5 linked regions of the Rattus norvegicus genome follow. The protein of the gene in region 1 interacts with the protein of each later gene in a pairwise test. Links are inferred from orthologs where the notes say so. Each region holds a gene or a part of one and is shown on either strand. Other genes may lie near its edges.

The links.
Region 2: the proteins of Tsc22d4 (region 1) and Tex11 interact in a two-hybrid assay, tested with the Homo sapiens proteins (2 studies listed by BioGRID and IntAct). The two-hybrid records come from large-scale screens. The link is inferred for Rattus norvegicus from reciprocal best matches to the Homo sapiens genes TSC22D4 and TEX11.
Region 3: the proteins of Tsc22d4 (region 1) and Mad2l1 interact in binary tests that used the Homo sapiens proteins (3 or more experiments, as listed by UniProt). The two-hybrid records come from large-scale screens. The link is inferred for Rattus norvegicus from reciprocal best matches to the Homo sapiens genes TSC22D4 and MAD2L1.
Region 4: the proteins of Tsc22d4 (region 1) and Nrbp1 interact in binary tests that used the Homo sapiens proteins (3 or more experiments, as listed by UniProt). The link is inferred for Rattus norvegicus from reciprocal best matches to the Homo sapiens genes TSC22D4 and NRBP1.
Region 5: the proteins of Tsc22d4 (region 1) and Zmynd10 interact in binary tests that used the Homo sapiens proteins (3 or more experiments, as listed by UniProt). The two-hybrid records come from large-scale screens. The link is inferred for Rattus norvegicus from reciprocal best matches to the Homo sapiens genes TSC22D4 and ZMYND10.

Annotation. Positions count from the first base shown.
Region 1 is NC_086030.1:24,575,392-24,578,963, forward strand, and holds the end of Tsc22d4 (TSC22 domain family protein 4), read right to left. Parts: intron 1,641-3,572; coding exon 1,592-1,640; intron 1,254-1,591; coding exon 1,044-1,253; 3' UTR 557-1,043; downstream 1-556.
Region 2 is NC_086039.1:70,233,693-70,238,201, forward strand, and holds the start of Tex11 (testis-expressed protein 11), read right to left. Parts: upstream 2,853-4,509; 5' UTR 2,143-2,852; intron 2,047-2,142; 5' UTR 2,025-2,046; coding exon 1,985-2,024; intron 1-1,984. UniProt on the Homo sapiens protein: Regulator of crossing-over during meiosis. Involved in initiation and/or maintenance of chromosome synapsis and formation of crossovers.
Region 3 is NC_086022.1:97,234,902-97,239,316, reverse strand, and holds the start of Mad2l1 (mitotic spindle assembly checkpoint protein MAD2A), read right to left. Parts: upstream 2,809-4,415; 5' UTR 2,695-2,808; coding exon 2,622-2,694; intron 2,278-2,621; coding exon 2,131-2,277; intron 69-2,130; coding exon 1-68. UniProt on the Homo sapiens protein: Component of the spindle-assembly checkpoint that prevents the onset of anaphase until all chromosomes are properly aligned at the metaphase plate.
Region 4 is NC_086024.1:30,850,213-30,854,595, reverse strand, and holds the start of Nrbp1 (nuclear receptor-binding protein), read left to right. Parts: upstream 1-1,487; 5' UTR 1,488-1,552; intron 1,553-4,222; 5' UTR 4,223-4,241; coding exon 4,242-4,383. UniProt on the Homo sapiens protein: Required for embryonic development. Plays a role in intestinal epithelial cell fate and proliferation, thereby involved in the architectural development of the intestine potentially via the regulation of Wnt-responsive genes.
Region 5 is NC_086026.1:117,101,696-117,103,967, reverse strand, and holds the end of Zmynd10 (zinc finger MYND domain-containing protein 10), read right to left. Parts: intron 2,035-2,272; coding exon 1,862-2,034; intron 1,655-1,861; exon of another isoform or gene 1,623-1,654; coding exon 1,497-1,622; intron 1,415-1,496; coding exon 1,293-1,414; intron 1,177-1,292; coding exon 1,051-1,176; intron 961-1,050; coding exon 885-960; 3' UTR 581-884; downstream 1-580. Other genes in the region: Rassf1 (ras association domain-containing protein 1), read right to left, coding at 39-288. UniProt on the Homo sapiens protein: Plays a role in axonemal structure organization and motility. Involved in axonemal pre-assembly of inner and outer dynein arms (IDA and ODA, respectively) for proper axoneme building for cilia motility.

The sequences.
Region 1 (3,572 bases):
CCTTCCCCCCCACTAGATGGGGCCCTTCTTGGCTGGTTCTGTCTGTCTGGGAGAGAAGCCCAGGCTGTCAGGGAGGAGCCTGCTCACCCACTGGGCCTAGTCCTCATCCAGCAAGGGGTGGGGTAGAAGCCAAGGCAGCCTGCCAGGCCTGGCGAGGGCACCATGTGCCCAAAGAGCCTGGCCCACACCCAGCCTTAAGACAAGGGGCCCATTCAGGGTTCCCTGCCCTGCCTCCAAGCAGCCGCCCAGATCCAGTCCACAAGAGGGGACACACTGGGAAGCTGGGGGTGGATCCTCACACTCACCAAAGACTCCATTGTTATCTCCCCTCCTCACACCGCCAACCACCAGCACATGGGTAGACACCGCCCCCTACCTCTTTCCTTAGGTCACCCTGCCAGGCCTTTCCAGGGACCAAGACCATTACCAAGCCATTTTCTGGTATCTTCTCCAGGGTGACTGGGATTCGCTGTGTGTGTACCCACATGAGCGTGATGAGAGTGTGTGTTGGGGACAGGGTAACTATATAGCTGGACACGGCAACAGCACACCAACCTCCATATTCAAGTTTCTTCAGATTTTTTTTTAATTATAATTATTATTTTAATAACAACCTGAATCCAAGAAGTTGAAGATACTGTCCATACCCCCTCCCTGGGCAGAGGAGAGGGGGCACTTGAAGAGAACAAGGTGGGATGGTGAGGGGGCCTGCCAGGGAACCTCCAAATCTTTCTGAGCCATCTGCTGCTGAGGGGCTCCCCAGAACACTGATTCCCAGGGAAGGAGGTGGGGCTGGGTTCTTTCATGGATGAGGGGCTTCAGATAAACATCCCCTCCTGGGTTCTTTCTCTTCCGGCAAGGCCTGAGGCTTCTGGGGAGACCAGGTGGGAAGGGACAGGCCAATATTTAGCCTCAACTCCCATCCCTGGGCATTGGGGTCGGGCGTGGGCATTAAAGCTACATAGGAAGAGGGGGCAGGCTGCTGGCACAAGGCCCGGCGGCCAGTGGCAGCCCCCAAAGGCACATTGTGAGGGAAAGAAGGCTCAGATGGAAGGCCCATTGGGTGCAGAGGGCCCGAGCCTTGGGAGCCCCGAGGATGGCAGCTGGGCCAGCTGCTCCGGGCTGGCCAGGGCACGCAGCAATCCATTTTCCTGCTCCAGTGCAGCATTCCGCTCTGCCAGGTCCCGGATCTGCTCCTTCAGCACCTCCACCTCCTCTCGCACGGCAAACATGAGGTGGGACTTCACCAAGTCCTGGACCCCAGGGACAAACAAACCTTCAGGCCCCTCAGGCCACCTCCAACTGCCTCTCCCAACCCAGGCACCTCAAGGAAGTGGTTATGATACCCATCTCCCTTTGCTCAAAGGAGGGGGGATGGAGGTTAAAGGAGAAACGGGGCAGCAGGCAAAGGATGAGGGACAGGGCTCACAGACAGGGATGAGCAGAGGTTGAGGGAAGCCAAAGGTAGAAAAGTAGAAGCAGAGAGGGGGGGTGTCTGTAACTAACTGGAAAATTTTCATTCCCAAGTAATGGGAGGGGAGAGGTGCTAGGGACACTAAGGGGCCTCCTGGGGCCAAGCATCTTCTCTTACCATGGCTTGTTCAATCTTGTTGTCAATGCCAACCAGGCTTCCGGAACCACTGGAGAGACATGGGGGTGGGGGTGGGGATACAAGTTGAGGAGGAACCCCAAGTCAACTCTGCTACAGTCTTCTGGTGCTCCCTGCTCTAAAAGCCCAGCCTATGCCCACCCCACCCAAGTACCTGTGGCAGTAGACGATGAGAGGTAGGAGGCTTTTGTCCACCCCACAGCGGGATGAAGGTCGGTGCCCAGGCCCCCCCAGGCCCTGGTGGGAAGGAGGTCCCGACGGCCCTCGGATTGGGGATGACCCCCGTGGGGAGCATGGGGAAGACACGCAGCCCCTTTTTCGGGGTGTCCCTTGTGCCATCCCTACCACTCGAGTCTCATAAGATGATACCAAGGACTTCACAGAGACCCCTGGCTGGGACATTCCTGAGGTAAGGGTCATCAGTATCCACTCCCAACCAAAAGGCTGTGACAGGCAGAATGCCTGGGGGGCCCAGAGCCCCCCTGGGCACAGTAGAGTTCTGCAATGGATGCCAAGCAGGCAGAGAGGAGACCGGACCTACAGACTGCTGCTCTGAGAGATATACACCCTGCCCTCCCCCTCAGGGCAAGGCACAGCTGCCATTGGCTCCTCGGGGACACGGGGACCCCCTCCCTTGGCTCCACAGTGGGCGGGAATTCCCAGACACACATGGTCTGTGCCAGTGTCCCCTTCTCACCCTGGCACCACTCCCAGACTGGAGGGGAAGGGGAGGTGAAGTCAGCTGGTAAGGGTTGGGGGAGGGGCTGTGAAGCAAGAAGGCTGGCATGGGGAGGGGCTTGAAGGTGAGACCCTAGGACGCATGTCCCCAACCTATGCCTCCCTTTCTGCCCTGTCTGGATTAACCATGGTCTCCCTCAACTTTGAGAAAGGGGACAGACAAAGGGGGCAGGGTAGAAATATATGTATCTTAGGTGGCTCTTAAAACGTGGGACAGAGGGTCCCCCACTTCAATGAAGGAGAGAATTAGGAAAGGTTACCATAGCAACAGAACCCCACCACCATATTAGGAACCCTATAAATCAAAGGCAGCCACATACGGGACCTGAGACCTGGGTATGGAGGTCTTGCAGTGAGTCAGAGCTTAAGAAAAGGAAGAAAAAAAAAAGGTACGGCTGAACATGGGACACTGGACAGAGACGCAGAGACTTTAAATCAGTAGTCAGGTAATGACCCAGTTAAGGGGCAGGCCTGGCTGCAGTTTTGAGCAGTGGCCACCAGAGGGCAACTCACGCCTGGCTCAAATGCCCCAGGGCTCAGGCTCCTGACTGGCACCAGGTTAGAGAATCTGCTTCTTACTCAAGCCCCTCTGCTCACTCAGGACTTTCTAGGGTCTCCTTGCCTGCCCCAGGCTGCAATGTCTTCCCTTTGGCTGCCGGACCAGAGGAGGCAGGCTTTTGTTTCGGTTACCTAAGCTTCCTTTCTGCTTTCCCCAAGGACACCAGGGTCTCCAGCCCTGTGTCGTCCCTCCCCTCACCACCGCCCCCCCCCCCCCAGTCAGGGTGCCACTTGGCTCCATTCATACACTGCTGTCACTTTTGTAATCCCTCCCCACTGGCTGTCAACTTCAACCTGCTTTCCTACAGGGGGAATCTATACTCAGTCCAAGGTGACCCTTGCATGAGGCCCGGCCATCAGAAAGGGAGCTGGGAATTTTCCATTCCCTGGCCAAGATCTGGATGCAGGAGGTGCTGACAGGTAGAGCCACCAAGGAGGTGAACGGGCTAGAAAGAGCAGGATATCAGTGAGTAAGGACACGGGGCGGGGGGGCGGGCCTCCAAAGCCAGGGAACACGGGAGATGCTTAAGAATGGAGGTGGGGAGCAGAGAGGTTAGAGGGGAGAGGGCAAGAGGGCTCAGTGGGTAGACTCTTGCCACTAAACTCGACAACCTGAGTTCCATTCCAAGAACCTACAGTGTGGAAGGATTTCCCCAAATTGTCCTCT
Region 2 (4,509 bases), on another chromosome or scaffold:
ATGCAGTCAAAATACCCTTGCATATAAAATAAAAATAAATGAATCTTTTTTAAAAAATTAATTTCATCTAATTCCTTATGCAGTCTAATGTGTCTACTAGAATATTTTAAATTAAATATGTAGCTCATTAATTTCTACTAGACAGGGCTGGTATTGACTACAACTATATTCAAGATTTTTTATACATTTTTGGCAGTTTCATTATATATGCTAAGTGGGCCTCAAATTCACTACGTAGTTCAGGATACCCTTAAACTCACAATCCTCCTGTGTTAGCCTCTGGGTGCTGAGATTACACACCCAGCTCTATTTTCTGAAGACTTTATGGAATAAACAATCATAAATATATCAGTAAAAGAAAATCTAAACTCGGATATTAAAATAAGTTACAAGGGCATTTATATAACAACAAACTGAAGAAGCTAAAAATCCAAAGAAAGGAAAATAAGAATTTGTCTCCAAATTAACCATAGGAAAAGGTGTTATGTGAAGCGTGGCAATGCTGTTTGCTTACTCGAGGCATGGTGTCATTATACTGCCTCAAACTAGCCTCCTATCTTGCAGGAATTACTTGTGTGTGTGTGTGTGCGCGCGCGCGCGTGTGCGCGCGCGCGCGTGTGCGCGCGCGCGCTTACCACACACATGCACATAACATGTCACCAGTATAGAGGACAGAAGACAATCGTCCAGATCTGCTTCTCTCCTTCCACCATATGGGTCTCAGTGATCAACTCAGGTCATCAGCCTTGGGGGCAAGCATCTTTACTGGCTAAGCCATCTCACCTGCCCTTACAGTGATTTTTTAAAACAATAAATAAATTTTAAATTTCTTAAAGATAAACTTTTTTATCGCCCTGATGTTGAATGGCTTGTGGATGACAGCAGTTTTCTGAAAAAATCATTTTTACAAGCAGAACATACCGTGCTGAGTTGTCTTGATACTACAGAAGCCAATGTACTCCTTCAAACCCCTGCCCTAGAGGCAAGCTAACTGCCCTTATGTAGGCCTTACTATTAGGACAAGATAAAATGTGAACCAGCCACATGGTCTCCAAGAATAAATTTATAGTATTACATGCCCATCTGCTTGCAACAACTTTTTAAATGTACTTTTAACATAGTACTTTTCAGGTTAAACAGTATAATTCTGCATCTCCTAAAATACCTGGGAAAAGCTATAGATTATGACCAGAAAATAAGCTGTGGATTGTGAATTTTGTTTCCTTACACTAGTTCATAAAAAGTTCCAAATATTATTTCTGGTACATAAATGAGAAAAACTGGAGCACTGAATACTCTGAAAAGAAACTTAAGAGACAAACCTGCATGTGTACCTCTGAAGTGCTGGACCCCCAACCCAGGGCTTCACATGTGGAAGGCAAACACTGCCTCGGAGCTACCTCCCAGCTTGTTTTCTTTTTGTTTTGCTTTGTGAAACAATATTTGAGGTATTTCTCCAGCCTCAGTGTTACAAATGTTGGGAGTATATGTCAGGTGCGGTGTTTGACACCTGCACTCTGGAAGCTGACCTAGGAAGATTGCGAATTTGAGGATAGCCTGAGCTACATAAAGTTCTGAGTCAGAGAGAGGGGCTCTTCTGGCCTCTTTGGCCTTGGAGGTAGAAGCAACATGACAAAAGAACACCGTCGTCTGGAAAGCGTCCCAATAAGATGCACACATTGTACCACACACATTGTACCACCGGCCGCTGTGGCTCTAAGAACTACCACTTTCAGAAGTTGGTCTGTGGCAAATGTGGCTACCCTGCCAAGCTCAAGAGAAAGAATAACTGGAGTGCCAAGGCTAAGAGACAAAATACCACCAGGACTGGGTGGATGTGGCACCTAAAAATTGTCTGGACGATTCAGACATGGATTCCGTGAAGGAACAACACCTAAAATCCAAAAGAGCAGCTGATGCAGCAACCACGATTGAGAATTTCAGTCAGCCATAAAATAACTGTTACCATGCAAAGCTTGGTTACCTTTAAAGTCCATGATGCTAAGGTCAGCAATGCCATCCATGTATTAAATGTCCGGATCCAGCCTATTGAACAAGAAAATATTTTAATACTCCACCCTTTATTCTCTAATTTCTTAAAAAGACACTTTTTTCCAGACAACTATGCCCATTACATATTACCTAAAAGTACAGGGAAGTTGAGGAAGCTGAAAATCCAGGAGAAACGTTGTTAAGGAGAGAGGTTTCTGCTGTCCCGCAACCGAAAAGCTTGCTCGTCTCTGGCGGCCCAACGGCCCAAGGCCGGAAGGCGAGGTTCAGGGCTCTGTCACAGCTAGTCATGTTCTGTGATTGGTCTGTCCCGCACACACTGCCCCGCCCTCTTTATGCAAATAGATTGAGTCATACTTTGTGATTGGTCTGTTTCGGTGTTCAAACACTCTCGTGCATATCCCATCGGCCCCCTCGCTCTTGGCTGCGTTTTTTGGCGCCTTTTTCCCGCTCTACGTGGCCTTCCACTAACGGTCGCTGAGCTGAATTGGCGCTGCTTAGCCCTCCTTCCCCTACCCACAAACCTCTCGTTCTGAAGATATTACCTCAGAGCATCTCTAAGAAGTATTGTCAAATGTCTGTTTCTTCTTGGTAGTTCTAAACCCTGGGCTGCAGATGCGGGGCCCTGAGTTCGATAATACACACATATATACATAAACACACGTAATAAACAAGATGAAAGAAAAGACTGGACCACTTCCTATCCACTAAACCTCTCGCCCGCTGAAACTACAGCCTTTAAATGTGCCTCACACGCTCCTCAGGAGAGCAAAGCTCCTTCCCCTCTATTACATCATCAAAAACCACTCCCAATTGTCCTTTACGATATATTGATTCTCTGCCTTGGAATCCTGTCTAAATTCTCTACACTGGATGAAACCAGAACGAGACTTATCAGGACAAGGTCTAGACGTAAGAACAGAAGTGGACTACCATTCAAAGGAAGGACAGATGGCCAGGATTATAGAAAAACAAGAACAAGAATTCACTCATACACACGCTACAAAAACAGTGTACACAGAGCTACTCAGTGTTTCAAACTGGCAAGGTATCCCAGCACAGTAGCACAGGCTACTAGTGTCACCAGTCAGAGGCTAAAGCAAGAGAATCCCTTGAGTCAAGGCATTCTAGATCGCCTGGGAAGCATAGTAAAACCCCAGCAAAGAAATAAATAAATAGTGTCAAAATTCGGAAAAAGAAGAAATTGTGCACTCGAGGCAGGGAGGCTAACCGCAGACCTTCATATCTCCCTCCATGCCTGAGTCCCAATCCCCAAGTCTCATCCCCAGTTCGTAGAGTCTCATCCCCAGTTCGTAGCAGACCCACCTGCCGCTGTCTCTCCTTACTCTCTACCTCCCTCCCCCTTCCCAAGGGACTAAACAGATCCCCATGGAAAACCAAGCTTTCATCCTGCGGACAGCTTCACCCTGCCCTCCTACCCATCCCTTTCCCTAAATGTCAGCACCTAGAAAAAACGTTTTGCCTGGAATCACCGTGGACTTCCCTATGAGGCAACACAGAACCACCACGCTCTCCTAAGAACCACAGAGGGTAACAGAAACCCAAGACAAGACCAGAGATCAGCACCGATGTAACTGCTTGTATTACTGAGATGGGTAGGCTGATTCCATGACAGGCTCCTATCCCAGAATTCCCCTAACGTGCTTTAAATCAGGCCTGTGAGCTTACTTCTGGGTCTTTCTATCTTGGTAATGGGAGACTCCAGCATGCTGGACTTCTGCAGGATAAGAGCATTTACATACTATTTGAGTCTGGGTATCATCCTTCAGTGAATCATGAACCCTTATTTTGCGAATCCTAATTATGTTCCCCCAAAAAACTGTTTTCACTAGAGGGTCTACACATAGCTTCTGGGAACCTGTCCGGAGCTGGTTCTGATTGGTAAATAAACATGCCAGAAGCCAGTAGCTGGGAAGGACAGACAGAGGCGGGATTCTAGGATTCCCCCAGCTTGAGACTGGGAGGAGAAGAAAAGAGATCCACCATACTTTAGAAGAGTGTGACGAGAGGACAGAGTCTGCCATGGAGTAGAAAGGCAAGGAGAACACCCCGGCTCTGGGCCAAGAAAAACGTGACCCAGACGGCTGACTAATTGGAGTTAGAGCAGCCAAGACTGAATATAGAAATGAGTAAGTAGTAACTCGGAATTATCGGCGGGAGCTAGATTCTAGCAGCATAGATGCAGTCACCCAGCTATCGTGCTGCTTAAGGCATGTTAAAAGGCTCTGTGTGTGTGTGTGTGTGTGTGTGTGTGTGACTGTGATGGTGGTGGTAGTGGTGTGTGTGTGTGTGTATGTGAGTGTGGTGGTGGTGGTAGTGGTGTGTGTGTGTGTGTGTGTGTGAGACTGTGGTGGTGGTGGTAGTGGTGTGTGTGTGTGTGTGTGTGTGTGTGTGTGACTGTGGTGGTGGTGGTAGTGGTGTGTGTGTGTGTGTGTGTGTGACTGTGGTGGTGGTGGTAGTGGTGTGTGTGTGTGTGTG
Region 3 (4,415 bases), on another chromosome or scaffold:
GACCTCGCCACTTTCAATATTCGAGATGACCACTACCAGTTTCTGAACGGAGCACTTGTACAACCACTCTGCAACACACAAGGCAGCTCTTACACTCTAAGCTATGGCAGAGACTCCCACAAGGCAGCTCTTACACTCTAAGCTATGGCAGACACTCCCACAAGGCAGCTCTTACTCTCTAACCTATGGCAGAGACTCCCACAAGGCAGCTCTTACTCTCTAAGCTATGGCAGAGACTCACACAAGGCAGCTCTTACACTCTAAGCTATGGCAGAGACTCCCACAAGGCAGCTCTTACACTCTAAGCTATGGCAGAGACTCCCACAAGGCAGCTCTTACACTCTAACCTATGGCAGGGACTCACACAAGGCAGCTCTTACACTCTAAGCTATGGCAGAGACTCCCACAAGGCAGCTCTTACACTCTAACCTATGGCAGAGACTCACACAAGGCAGCTCTTACTCTCTAAGCTATGGCAGAGACTCACACAAGGCAGCTCTTACTCTCTAACCTATGGCAGAGACTCCCCACAAGGCAGCTCTTACTCTCTAACCTATGGCAGGGACTCACACAAGGCAGCTCTTACACTCTAAGCTATGGCAGAGACACACACAAGACAGCTCTTACTCTCTAAGCTATGGCAGACACTCCCACAAGGCAGCTCTTACTCTCTAAGCTATGGCAGAGACTCACACAAGGCAGCTCTTACTCTCTAACCTATGGCAGAGACGCTCTGCTCAAGACCCACTTTCCCGCCTACAAAATCCTCACAGTGGTATTTTGCCTTCCTTTCATACACAAGGAAGAAAATTCTTCACTAACAATTTAATCAAGTTTTAAATTCTCCACATTACTAGTAGGTGGAAGCCAGTGCATCACGGAGCCGTGAACTTGTACTTCACTGCGATTCACAGAAAGAACATAGGACATAGGCTTTAATCTAACCACTGCCAGTCACATCTGTGGTGGCTGGTCAGAACAGAGCGATAGTATAAGAGCACAAGAAAAATCTCACTACTCTGGTAGGTGAGGGAAGGATTTGTTTTTACATTAAATGTACAAAGGAGAGGCAAATACAGGCTTTAAATGGCAAGGGCGTGCATATGTATCTATGTATGTATGTATATGTATGCAGACTATTGCAAAGTACATGCTTTTTAATAAAGTCAATTAATTACAGAATTATGAAAAATCAAGATGCTACACAAAATCTTAAGTGTTAAATTAATGAAACTATACTTTTAAGAATTAGGAAAGCCACAACTGTGTTTTAAGCAGCATGACCAATTAGCCTTGTGTTTTTAAACTATCATCCTTGGTAGTAAGTGAACTGAAGGGGATTAAAAGAGGATCGATCCAGACACCAGAATTCAAAGCAGATCTTATGCTTAAAAACCCTACCTCTTTTGCCTGTGAATTCATACCCAACTTGCACAAGTGTTGATGGATACTCTATTATGGATACGAATTGCAAGGAATGTTTAAAAGTATGGCCTTAAGCTGGGCACGGTGGCAAATGCCTTTTAGTCCCAGAACTCGGAGGGGGTAGACCCAGGCTGATCTTTCTGAGTTCAATCTGGTCTACATCGCAAGTTCAAGGACAGCCAGAGCTATAGAGACCTATCTCAAAAGCAAAACAAAACAAAACGGCCTTAAAGAGAGTTGTTAAGTTAACCATGTTCAGGTGGTCACCAAAAGGCCATTTTAATGCTGAAGTTAACAAAAAGGCAACAAATACTATAATGAAAACAATTAAAACAAACCAACCACCCATACACATAAAACTCAAAGGGGAAAAAAGGGTAGTTGCAATGCTTTTAGAATTGGTATTTTGTAAGATTACATTGGGAGATACAGAGCAAAACACAGAAAGATGAGATCATTTTAATTGGGTAAAATTTCCAATTTGTTGCACCTGGTTAACCTATAAAACCCATTTCTAAAGCAGCTTTTCTAAGATGCCTAACATCAAGACATTCAGCCTACTTAAAAAACAGAAGAGGTGGAAATTCCCTCCATCACTTGCTTTCTCCCAATTCAGAATCACATTTGAGAAGGCCTGTTGCTTTAAGCTACTTGGGACACTTACAAATGCAAACTTGTAAGGTGTAAAACTCAAAACGTGATTACCTTTTAGCTGCTCTACCACATTATTGAGATACTTTATGAGCTCGGGGTCAGTAGTTACAAGCAAGGTGAGTCCATATTTCTGCACTCGAGTAAAGGTTTCCGACGGATAAATGCCACGCTGATACAAAATGCTGTTGATGCCAAATGCTGAAAGCGAAAGAAATAAAGCCATAAACATGTATTAACGTTTTAAACTCTTCCAGAAATCAGAGTAGGGACAAAACAACACGGAAAACCTTTAACCCAGCAATGTCGAATTTCACCGGGTCGCTAAATGTAAACACAGAGTATGTGGTTCAGATGTCAACGCAGACCACCAGCTTTCAAAGAGCGAGTGAGATGATGCCCCAGGCCAGCCCCGTTTCATTCCAGGAGGCACAGGCCTGCGTTCCCCGCCCCCGGGAGGATCCGGTGGTTCCGCTCTAGCACACGTCCTAAGGCCCGGCCCAGGCAGCTTATCTTTGGCTGCAGGGTCCGCGCTCAGCACTCACAAAAAAACTCGGCGACGATTTCTGCGCTCCCACGCAGGGTGATGCCTTGGTCCCGGGCGAGCTGCTGTGCCATCACTAGATCGAACGGAGAACACTGTCAACCCCTCCGTAGATGGCGCCCTAATGGCTCCTCTAGCTATTCCCCGCCACCCGGTTCAAAAGTAACTACGAATCCCGCCGGTCGCTCTGTGCGCAGGCGCAACGAGCCTTAAACCCCACCTACGTCGCCAGTTTCCGGCCCCAACCCTGTCTTTTAACTCGGAATCCCTTCCTGAGCCCGCCTCATGCTTCCGGTTTTTTCTAAGCCCCTCCCACATTAGGGAACCGGGTCTCTTTTCAACATTTCGCTCCATAACGCTACTTCCGCCGTAAGCCCAGTTGCACCGCAGATGAGCTGACCCTAAGTCCCGCCCAAAGCGACTTGTATCCGGCCCTGGCTCCACCCTCTCTGGCAGACCGAATGCGCAGGCGTAGAGTGGTTCGGGCGTATGGTTCCAGTTCCTGGTACCCAGGAGGGTCCTTAGTGGGCGGGACCTCTGATAAGGTGGCCTAGAAGAGGATCTGAGATGGTAGTGGGGTTACCTACCTGCCACACCCGTGGTCTGAGCATCCCTGAAGCACAGGCTCAGCTTTGAGCATAGTTTCAAGTCTGGGAGAGCCTAATTTTTTTTTTTGTTTGTTTTGTGTGTGTGTGTGTGTGTGTGTGTGTGTGTGTGTGTGTGTGTGTGTGTAAATGCAACTTTTCTGGAGAAATAAGATGAGGGGAACTAGGTCGAACAGAAGCTTAGTGAGTAAAGATGCTTGTCACCAAGTCTGCAACATGTCTGGAGGAGAGAGGCAAGGCACATGCACACACACACACACACACACACACACGCGCGCGCGCGCGCGCGCGCGCGCGCATGCACATACACAAACACACAGACACACACTGTAATAATCATTTAGAAATGTCTTTAGTTTTCTATTACTACATACATTTTATAAGTTCACATCAGATTTAAATGATAGGGCTTCTTGATTTCCTTTCTTTGCAATTAGCCTGCTTTTAAGTCTTTTAGTCATATGTTTCTTTTTGAGTATTTAAGGCCTATACCTGAGCATATAAGATTATACATGAGATTCATGTGACAGTTTTTATATTGTACAGTGTATTGGGTCCAGGAGATAGCACATCTTCCAAGTATCCTAAATGCTTCTAATGCTGGTACTCAGACTGCATTTTGAAACCAGTTGACTATTAGAAATACTGTAATGTGCAGGTTTAAGAAGTTTAGAGCCTGAATTAAATAGATGCCAGGGAGGTTGTATAAGGGATACATCAGAGAAAGAAATTGTGACATACGAGGAAGAATGAAATGGTGGCATAGATAAAACTGAGGTACCAAGCTCTTTCTTCCCAAGTGTGTTTGGACTTAATCTAATTTATCACAGTAACATAAAAAAATCTGGAATCTTCGATGGTCTTACCTATTAACTTTTGGCCACTTGGTTTAACATTACCTCCCTCCCCTTTTATCAAAAGCAATACTATAAAATACTTGAAAACTCAGTTTCTCGAATTTACTTTGCCTCACAATTTTGTAAACTCTTGCTATGCATTGTTTAGGGAAAGAATGTTTGAACAGGGAAGAATAGAAATTGAGCCTTTTTTCTAAAGAGAGTTCAAGCAATACAAGCCAATATTTTATTAATAAAACAATAAATATAAAGAGTATGTGATGAATAATTAGGCTTCTATTTCATACTAGGGTATTAAAAACAAGTGTTTTTCCCCCTAAGTCTAGAAGTACA
Region 4 (4,383 bases), on another chromosome or scaffold:
GTAGTGCTGACAGAAACTAATGGGAACTAAAGTAGCATGAACAGATATGTACTGAATGCTTGCTGTGGTTCAAGAGTTTTTATTGCTTTGGTGCCCAGGAGGCCGAAAGATTAATCTGGAGAGGAAGAGCATCATTTAAGACTAGAACAAACTTTGAAATGTCGTGCTATACATTATAGGTAAGTGCATCTCTTAATCCAACAGCAGAATTCTATTTTGTCTTTGTACAGTTGCGCTATTGCTTGTGCTGATCATGAACTCATGGCATTAGCCTTCGGAGTGATAGGATTACCGTATTCGACACTATGCTGGGTGAACAAAAAAGGTTGGCTTTTGTTTTTGAGACAGGGTTCCACTATGTAGCCCTCCCTGGTTGGCCTCGAATTCACAGAGATCTGTCTGGCATGCTTGTTGAAATTTTGTTTTTTAAAGCAAGCATTTTAAAAGTGAAGATAGAAAAAAATGAGTCTCTACAGGATTTCCATCTGAACCGGTGAACTAGGACTAATTAGTCCCCTTTCAGGACAGTAACGTTGTTGATTGTGGCACTCAGATTCAGATGATTCATCCTTCTTCCTTGATAATACATAGATAATGGCAGCATGAATTTTCATCCCTTAGATTTTGCCTTTAACTTTCCAAGATCAATGGCTTAACCCAAAATCTATTGTAATTATAACTCACAACCAATGTAAATTCTTTCCAAATACTTTTTCAAGGACAGTTTTTTTTTTTTTTTTGGTTCTTTTTTTCGGAACTGGGGACCGAACCCAGGGCCTTGCGCTTCCTAGGTAAGCGCTCTACCACTGAGCTAAATCCCCAGCCCCACAAGGACAGTTTTGATGGATCTTCTTACTTCGGATTCTATTTTGGGCTCATGCCAATTTAAATTTGAGTAACTTTTTTTTGTTTCATTTTCGCATTTGACAACTATCATTGATTAATTTCAATGAGTTCTCCCTTATGAGGGTCGAATCTGGTTATATGTTTAGGTAAATAATGTTATGCAAATCAGCAACTATTAGGTTTCATGTTAAGCGATTAAAAAAAGAAAAGCTTTCTGAAAATTTGATGACCCATGAACTGTCTCTTTCCCAAATGGGGAATGTGGGTGGGTTCATCCCTCGGATTGAGGCTGCGTCTTCCGTTCCTTTTGTCTTTTCGGAGGATTATGACTGTCATGGCGCTTTCAAGGAGAGAGAGGCCTTCCTTTCGTCCGGCAGAATTACTTGGGAGCACCTCGACTGGGCGGAGGATGGACAGAGAGACATGAAGACAACGCTGGCAAGCTGTCCGCCAGAGCCCTGCAAGGGAGGAGACGCGGCAGGAGACTGCCCTGAGAGCGCCTGTCTGTGGGAACCGCCCCCCGCTGCCCTGTCCAATGGAAACCTGGCGGCGGTGCGGCACCGCCCACTGTTGGTCCGGACGCCGCGAGGGCGGGGCCCGCAGTTCGGTTGCGCTGCGGAGCGCAGCTGTGAGGGAGTCGCTGCGATCCGAGGCCCCGGAACCCGAGCTGGAGCTGAAGCGCAGGCTGCGGGCGCGGAGTCGGGAGGTGAGCTCCGGAGAAAGAGGCCCTGGAGGGAGGGGCTCGCGGAAGGGCGGCAGGATCACCGGGTGCCGCGGGCCGGCGGGCCGCGGCCGGCGGGTGCTGTCCGGCGGCCCTGCTCTCTCGGGAGTCAGGCCCGACCTAGCCCGGCCCGTCGCAGCTGAGGGGCCACCTTGGCCCCAGGGCGCCGCCCGCCCTCCTGGTGTCTCCGGCGTGGCCGCGGCGGCCCGGAATTCTGCGGGCGCGGGTCGGGGGGCCCCGGCGTTCTCTTGGAACTCTGGCCGCGAGAGGCGGGGCAGGCGGCGCGGGCGGGGGCGGGGCGGGGGCGGGGCGGGGGCCCCTGCCCGAGGACCTGCGGAAGGAAGCGCGGCGTCCGGGCCCGGCCTGCTCGCGGGGCGGTGCGCCGAGCGCGGGGGCGTGGTCTGCGGCCTGACGGCGCGGCTAGGCTGGCCTTTGATGAGGTGGCTGTGGTGCTCAGTCTCCTGGCCGGCCACTGTCTGCTCGCTACCGCTTCCTTCCAAATACTGGCCGGGCGACCTGTTGACATGCTGAGGGCCTCCTGCCTCCGAGCTTGCTTTCTCTCCGACCGAGCAGTTCTGCTGACCTCAGAGGCTCTCTGGGTTTCCTCAGAGCGGCCTGTGGCTGCGAGCTATGCGGGGTGACGTGCAGAGGGCTTTCAACTAATAATGGAAGCCGAGAGAACAACTTTGCGAGAGATGACAGACAATGCCCTGGAGTGAATGTACTATGCACCCTCAGGGTAGCTAGAGGCTTCGAGGAGATTGCCCTCACCAATGTAAATGAGCTTTTCCATGTGTGATCCCTGTTAAAACTACCAGCAGCTCTGAGGCAGAACCCCCAGTGTTGCACAAGTTTCTGCATCTGTTGCGGGAGTGCTTGGAGATCTTTAGGCACTGCTCTTATTTTACCTCCTGGGACATGATTGGGGAGGGAAATGTACCTTCTGGGCATTTGTCGCTGGTGACAGTTCATCCTCTCTCCCAAGTGCAGTGTGAAGGGGCTGTCTGTGAACTTGGTCCAGTAGTTTTAGATTCCATAGGCTACAGCTTTGACATTCTAGAGTATCTTCTGTTGTATCTTGCTAGAATTTCACTTATCAGTTCAGATTGGAGGCACATCGTGTGAATGTAGCTGAAACAGACTTTATTTTCTTAGCTCCTTGATACAGACTTTATTTTCTTAGCTCCTTGATAGGGGAAGGAGGAAAAAGTGATCCTTAACTCATCTTTTTTTATTGGTTTATTAAGACATGCACGAAAATAATAGCTGTTTTGGCATACAGAGGAGACTTTCTAGGGTAGGCAAGGACTTTCCTTAGAAATTTAAAGTGGGGAAGTAGCCTACTAGATTTTTTTTCCTCCTGTAGTGCTGTGTTCTTTGAGTTTACTAGAACGTTAATACAAATCTCCCGATTCAGGTAAAACAGTATAGGCTGGAGAGAAATGTGTAGAAAGGGGCATCAGAGAGTTGTATGGCCATGTTGGTGTTGATTGCAGGTTTCAGATATTCTGAATTGACTTTGGAGTGCAAGTTTACTTTCCAGGGTATTGATTTTTTTATTAGGCAGCGCTTCCTTGAGCTAATCACACATAGGTTTCAGGTTTTTTTTTAATAGTCTCTATTCATTTGATTGTCCTATTATTATTATTATTATTATTATTATTATTATTATTATATGGGTTAATTAGAAACTTAGGTTTTTCTTAAAGCAACTCTGCCCCTGTAGAAATGTTATTGTTTAACACTTTGCTTATAAAAGCTATAGCTTGAATTATTTGTTCTGGAAAGAAGTAGCTGGTATCAGATCTAGTGCCTCAGAGATTGGGGAAGTCAAAGCCTTTGAGCAATGTAAATGAAAGGAAAGCTGGAAACATAAGGCTTTTGATTTTCTTTCTGAATTTGTGCTTAATTAAGTGCAGGCATTTCATTTATTTTAATTCACTGATCTCTCAAGCACCCTCCCATTCTGTGACCTATAGTAACCTACAAGTGTTACTAAACATTTAAGTGAGTAAATGAAAAGAAATGCTGTTAAACAGTACCCACTTGCCACATTCACACATCATGAGGAAGGTGAGGTCATTAGAGAAGGAAGTCATACCTGCCAGTCGCCTGGCCCAAAGGCAGTTTCTACCTATGTATAGGAAAAGTGGGTAATGCCACTGTTGGTTCTAGTAGAATAAGTCACCCTTGGGAGTTTTGGCCTGTTGGTTAAGGAAGATGTAGGCCCATAGGGCTGTCTGTCTCAGTGGAACATTCTAGAGTCGTATGCTCTGAGTAATGCCTGTACACCCTAGTTCTTAAGCACAGTGAAGATCGAGGCCCATGGAGAGCCAATGGGAAATATATTAATTGCAACACTATTTGCTGAGCAGGAGTGGGGTACCAGATTTTACCGTATATTTGGGTTTGACTAAAGTGGACTATATTGTCATTCATCTCATGTGCAGCACTTCGGGTGATCTTCAGTTAACTCCTCTTCTAGAAGCCAGAGAGTCATTCACATTTCAGTATTTAGGTAGGAGGAGATCTGATTTTAGATTTAAAGGAAACAAGGGAGATGTATTTTTTGAGGCTGAAGATGAAGTTAAGACTATTAAAGTTTTATACGTCTGTTTTTGACCTTTGTCTTCTGACTCTGCCCAACAAATGCAGGCTGAGTGTTCATTCCAGCATGTCGGAAGGGGAGTCCCAAACAGTAGTCAGCAGTGGCTCAGACCCAAAGGTAGAATCCTCATCTTCAGCTCCTGGCCTGACTTCTGTATCACCTCCTGTGACCTCTACAACTTCAGCTGCTTCTCCGGAGGAAGAAGAAG
Region 5 (2,272 bases), on another chromosome or scaffold:
CGTTCCATAGTCGCTGGTTGTGTGGGGCCGCTACTCACGCGCGCACTGTAGGCCTTTGCGCACGACGCCCCAGATGAAGTCTCCACAGAGGTCGCACCACGTGTGCGTGGTGGGCCCTGCAGGCTGGAAGCGGTGGCCACGACCCGGGACGTGCTGCTGTGACGGATTGCGTGTTGTGCCCGGCGCGATGCGCAGAGCGTTGGCACGCTCCAGCCGGGTACGGCCTGGACCGATGCGCCCGGACGGTGCCAACTCTCGTAGTTCAATGAGTTCTGGCTCCGCCGACATGGCCCGGTCAGGCCGGTGCTGTAGCGGACTAGCAGCTAGTGAGTTCGTAGCGGGCGAGGCCGCAGGGCGGGCCGCGACTTCGGCACCGCCCCCAGGATCAAGGCAGGGCGGCGGGAAAGAGCCGAGGAGGACGCGCTGGAAACCCAGGCTAGCCGACCGTGTGGACTTGTGGGCGGGGCACAGCACAGGGGTGGGCCCTTTCAAAGAGCCCCTTCCCAGTCTTTCCTTCCAGTCTTCGCCCCATCGCCCCTTCTCCCCCGCCCCCAAGGATGACTATCAAGCGCCACACTGATGCGTTTCATGAGTCTGCTTTATTGTGAGAAAGGAAGAGGGTCTCCACATCCGGCCCTTGCTCACAACCCCCCAACCCTGTCTGCTAGTTTGCTGATGCTGTGGCCTGGTCCTCTACGTATTTGCTGGGTGGGGCAGGAAGTGAAGAGCCTTCGCTTCTGTGTAGTGGTTTGCAGCTCTTCTTGACTCAGCTGTGCTCCTCAACCAGGGAAATTGAGGTCTGACAGGGGCCAGGCAAGAGTCCCTGAAGCTCAGAGTCACATTCTGGGTGCACTCTTCTGTCGGCCCTCAGCAGCTACTGGCCTTCACTTGGCTCTGTCACCCTGGGCTGCTAGAACACACGTCTTTCCGTGCTTCTCCCAGTGCTTGACTTGACACTCCCTGCAGCGAGGTGGGTTGCATGACAATGGGCTCGTGGGAAGACCCAGGGTTGGAGCTTAGGGGGAAACTAAGGTCCCAGGATCTTCTCACCTGCAGCAATACCACACTTTCTGGCATCTGGAGCAGCGCTTGGAGGCCTCGGCACTGCAGTAGGCACAGCGGGGCCTCTCCGGAGCTACAGCCTCTAGGACGTCCAGCCTGTAGGTTTCAGCCCACCTGGGGGAGGAGTCAAGAAGATCTGAATGGACCTGGCAGGTTGGAGCACAGAAACCCTCGTGACCTTCCCTTCTTCGTCCTGTGCACGTGACTTGAGCCGCTTAGCGGGACTTTACCTCTGTGCTTGTTGGCGAAGATCCTTCTCGGAGAGGCTGAATACGTGCTGAAGCTGGTGCTTGGCGATAGCCTGCCACTTGCCTTTGTTCTCTCGCTCCAGCCGATCCCAGATTTCTGGGATCTAAAAGAGTGTAATGGAGATAGGAAGGAAGGAACCAGAAAAGTGGACCGTGGTCCCAAGCACTCAATTTCTAGGGGCTCACCTGTTCTAACACTAGGTCCTTCTTAGGGGGTTGAGTTTCAACCAGGGCCAGGTGGGCCAGGAAACTCTTCAGATCAGCAAGGTTGGGCAGCTGGTCAAGCAGTGTGTCGGTGAGGAAGGCCTGAAGCTGCAAGGTATCCAGGGAAGGCCATTGGGAAACTGTTCCTAGCCAGAGGGCCCAAAGACAGGAAGTCCTGAAGTTGGGGCTGAGAGTACTTGGGAGGGTTTGCATCTTTCCAACTCCCTTGTCCTCTGAAGCCCAAGTGGTGGAAAGAGGGCGGGGACAGACAGGGATGCTATGGGGGCGGGGCGGGGCGGGGCTGGGCGGGGCACAGTGGGGATGGGTAGGGTCTTTGAGTTCTCCACCTTAAGCAGCTGTCCCTTGGCAAAGTTTGTAAGGCAGTAACGGGTTCGGGCCTCAGGACTGAGCAGTAGATTGTACAAGGCGATCCATACTTGCCCATCCAGTTTGTTCAGCTTTTGATGCTCTGAGGGGGCCACTGTCTGCCATCGGCCACTCTCAAAATGCTGCAGCTTGCCTGGGGAGGAGAATGAGGTGTTGTGTTCACTTTGAGAGTGTGTCGTCCTGGGGTTGGGGATTTAGCTCAGTGGTAGAACGCTTGCTTAGCAAGCGCAAGGCCCTGGGTTTGGTCCCCAGCACCGGAAAAAAAAAGAAAGAAAGAAAAAAGAAAAAAAAAAGAGAGTGTGTTGTCCTTACCTGGCATCGTTTGAAAGCCTGGACCACCAGATTTGTCAGAACAAGGTTGATTTTCAATA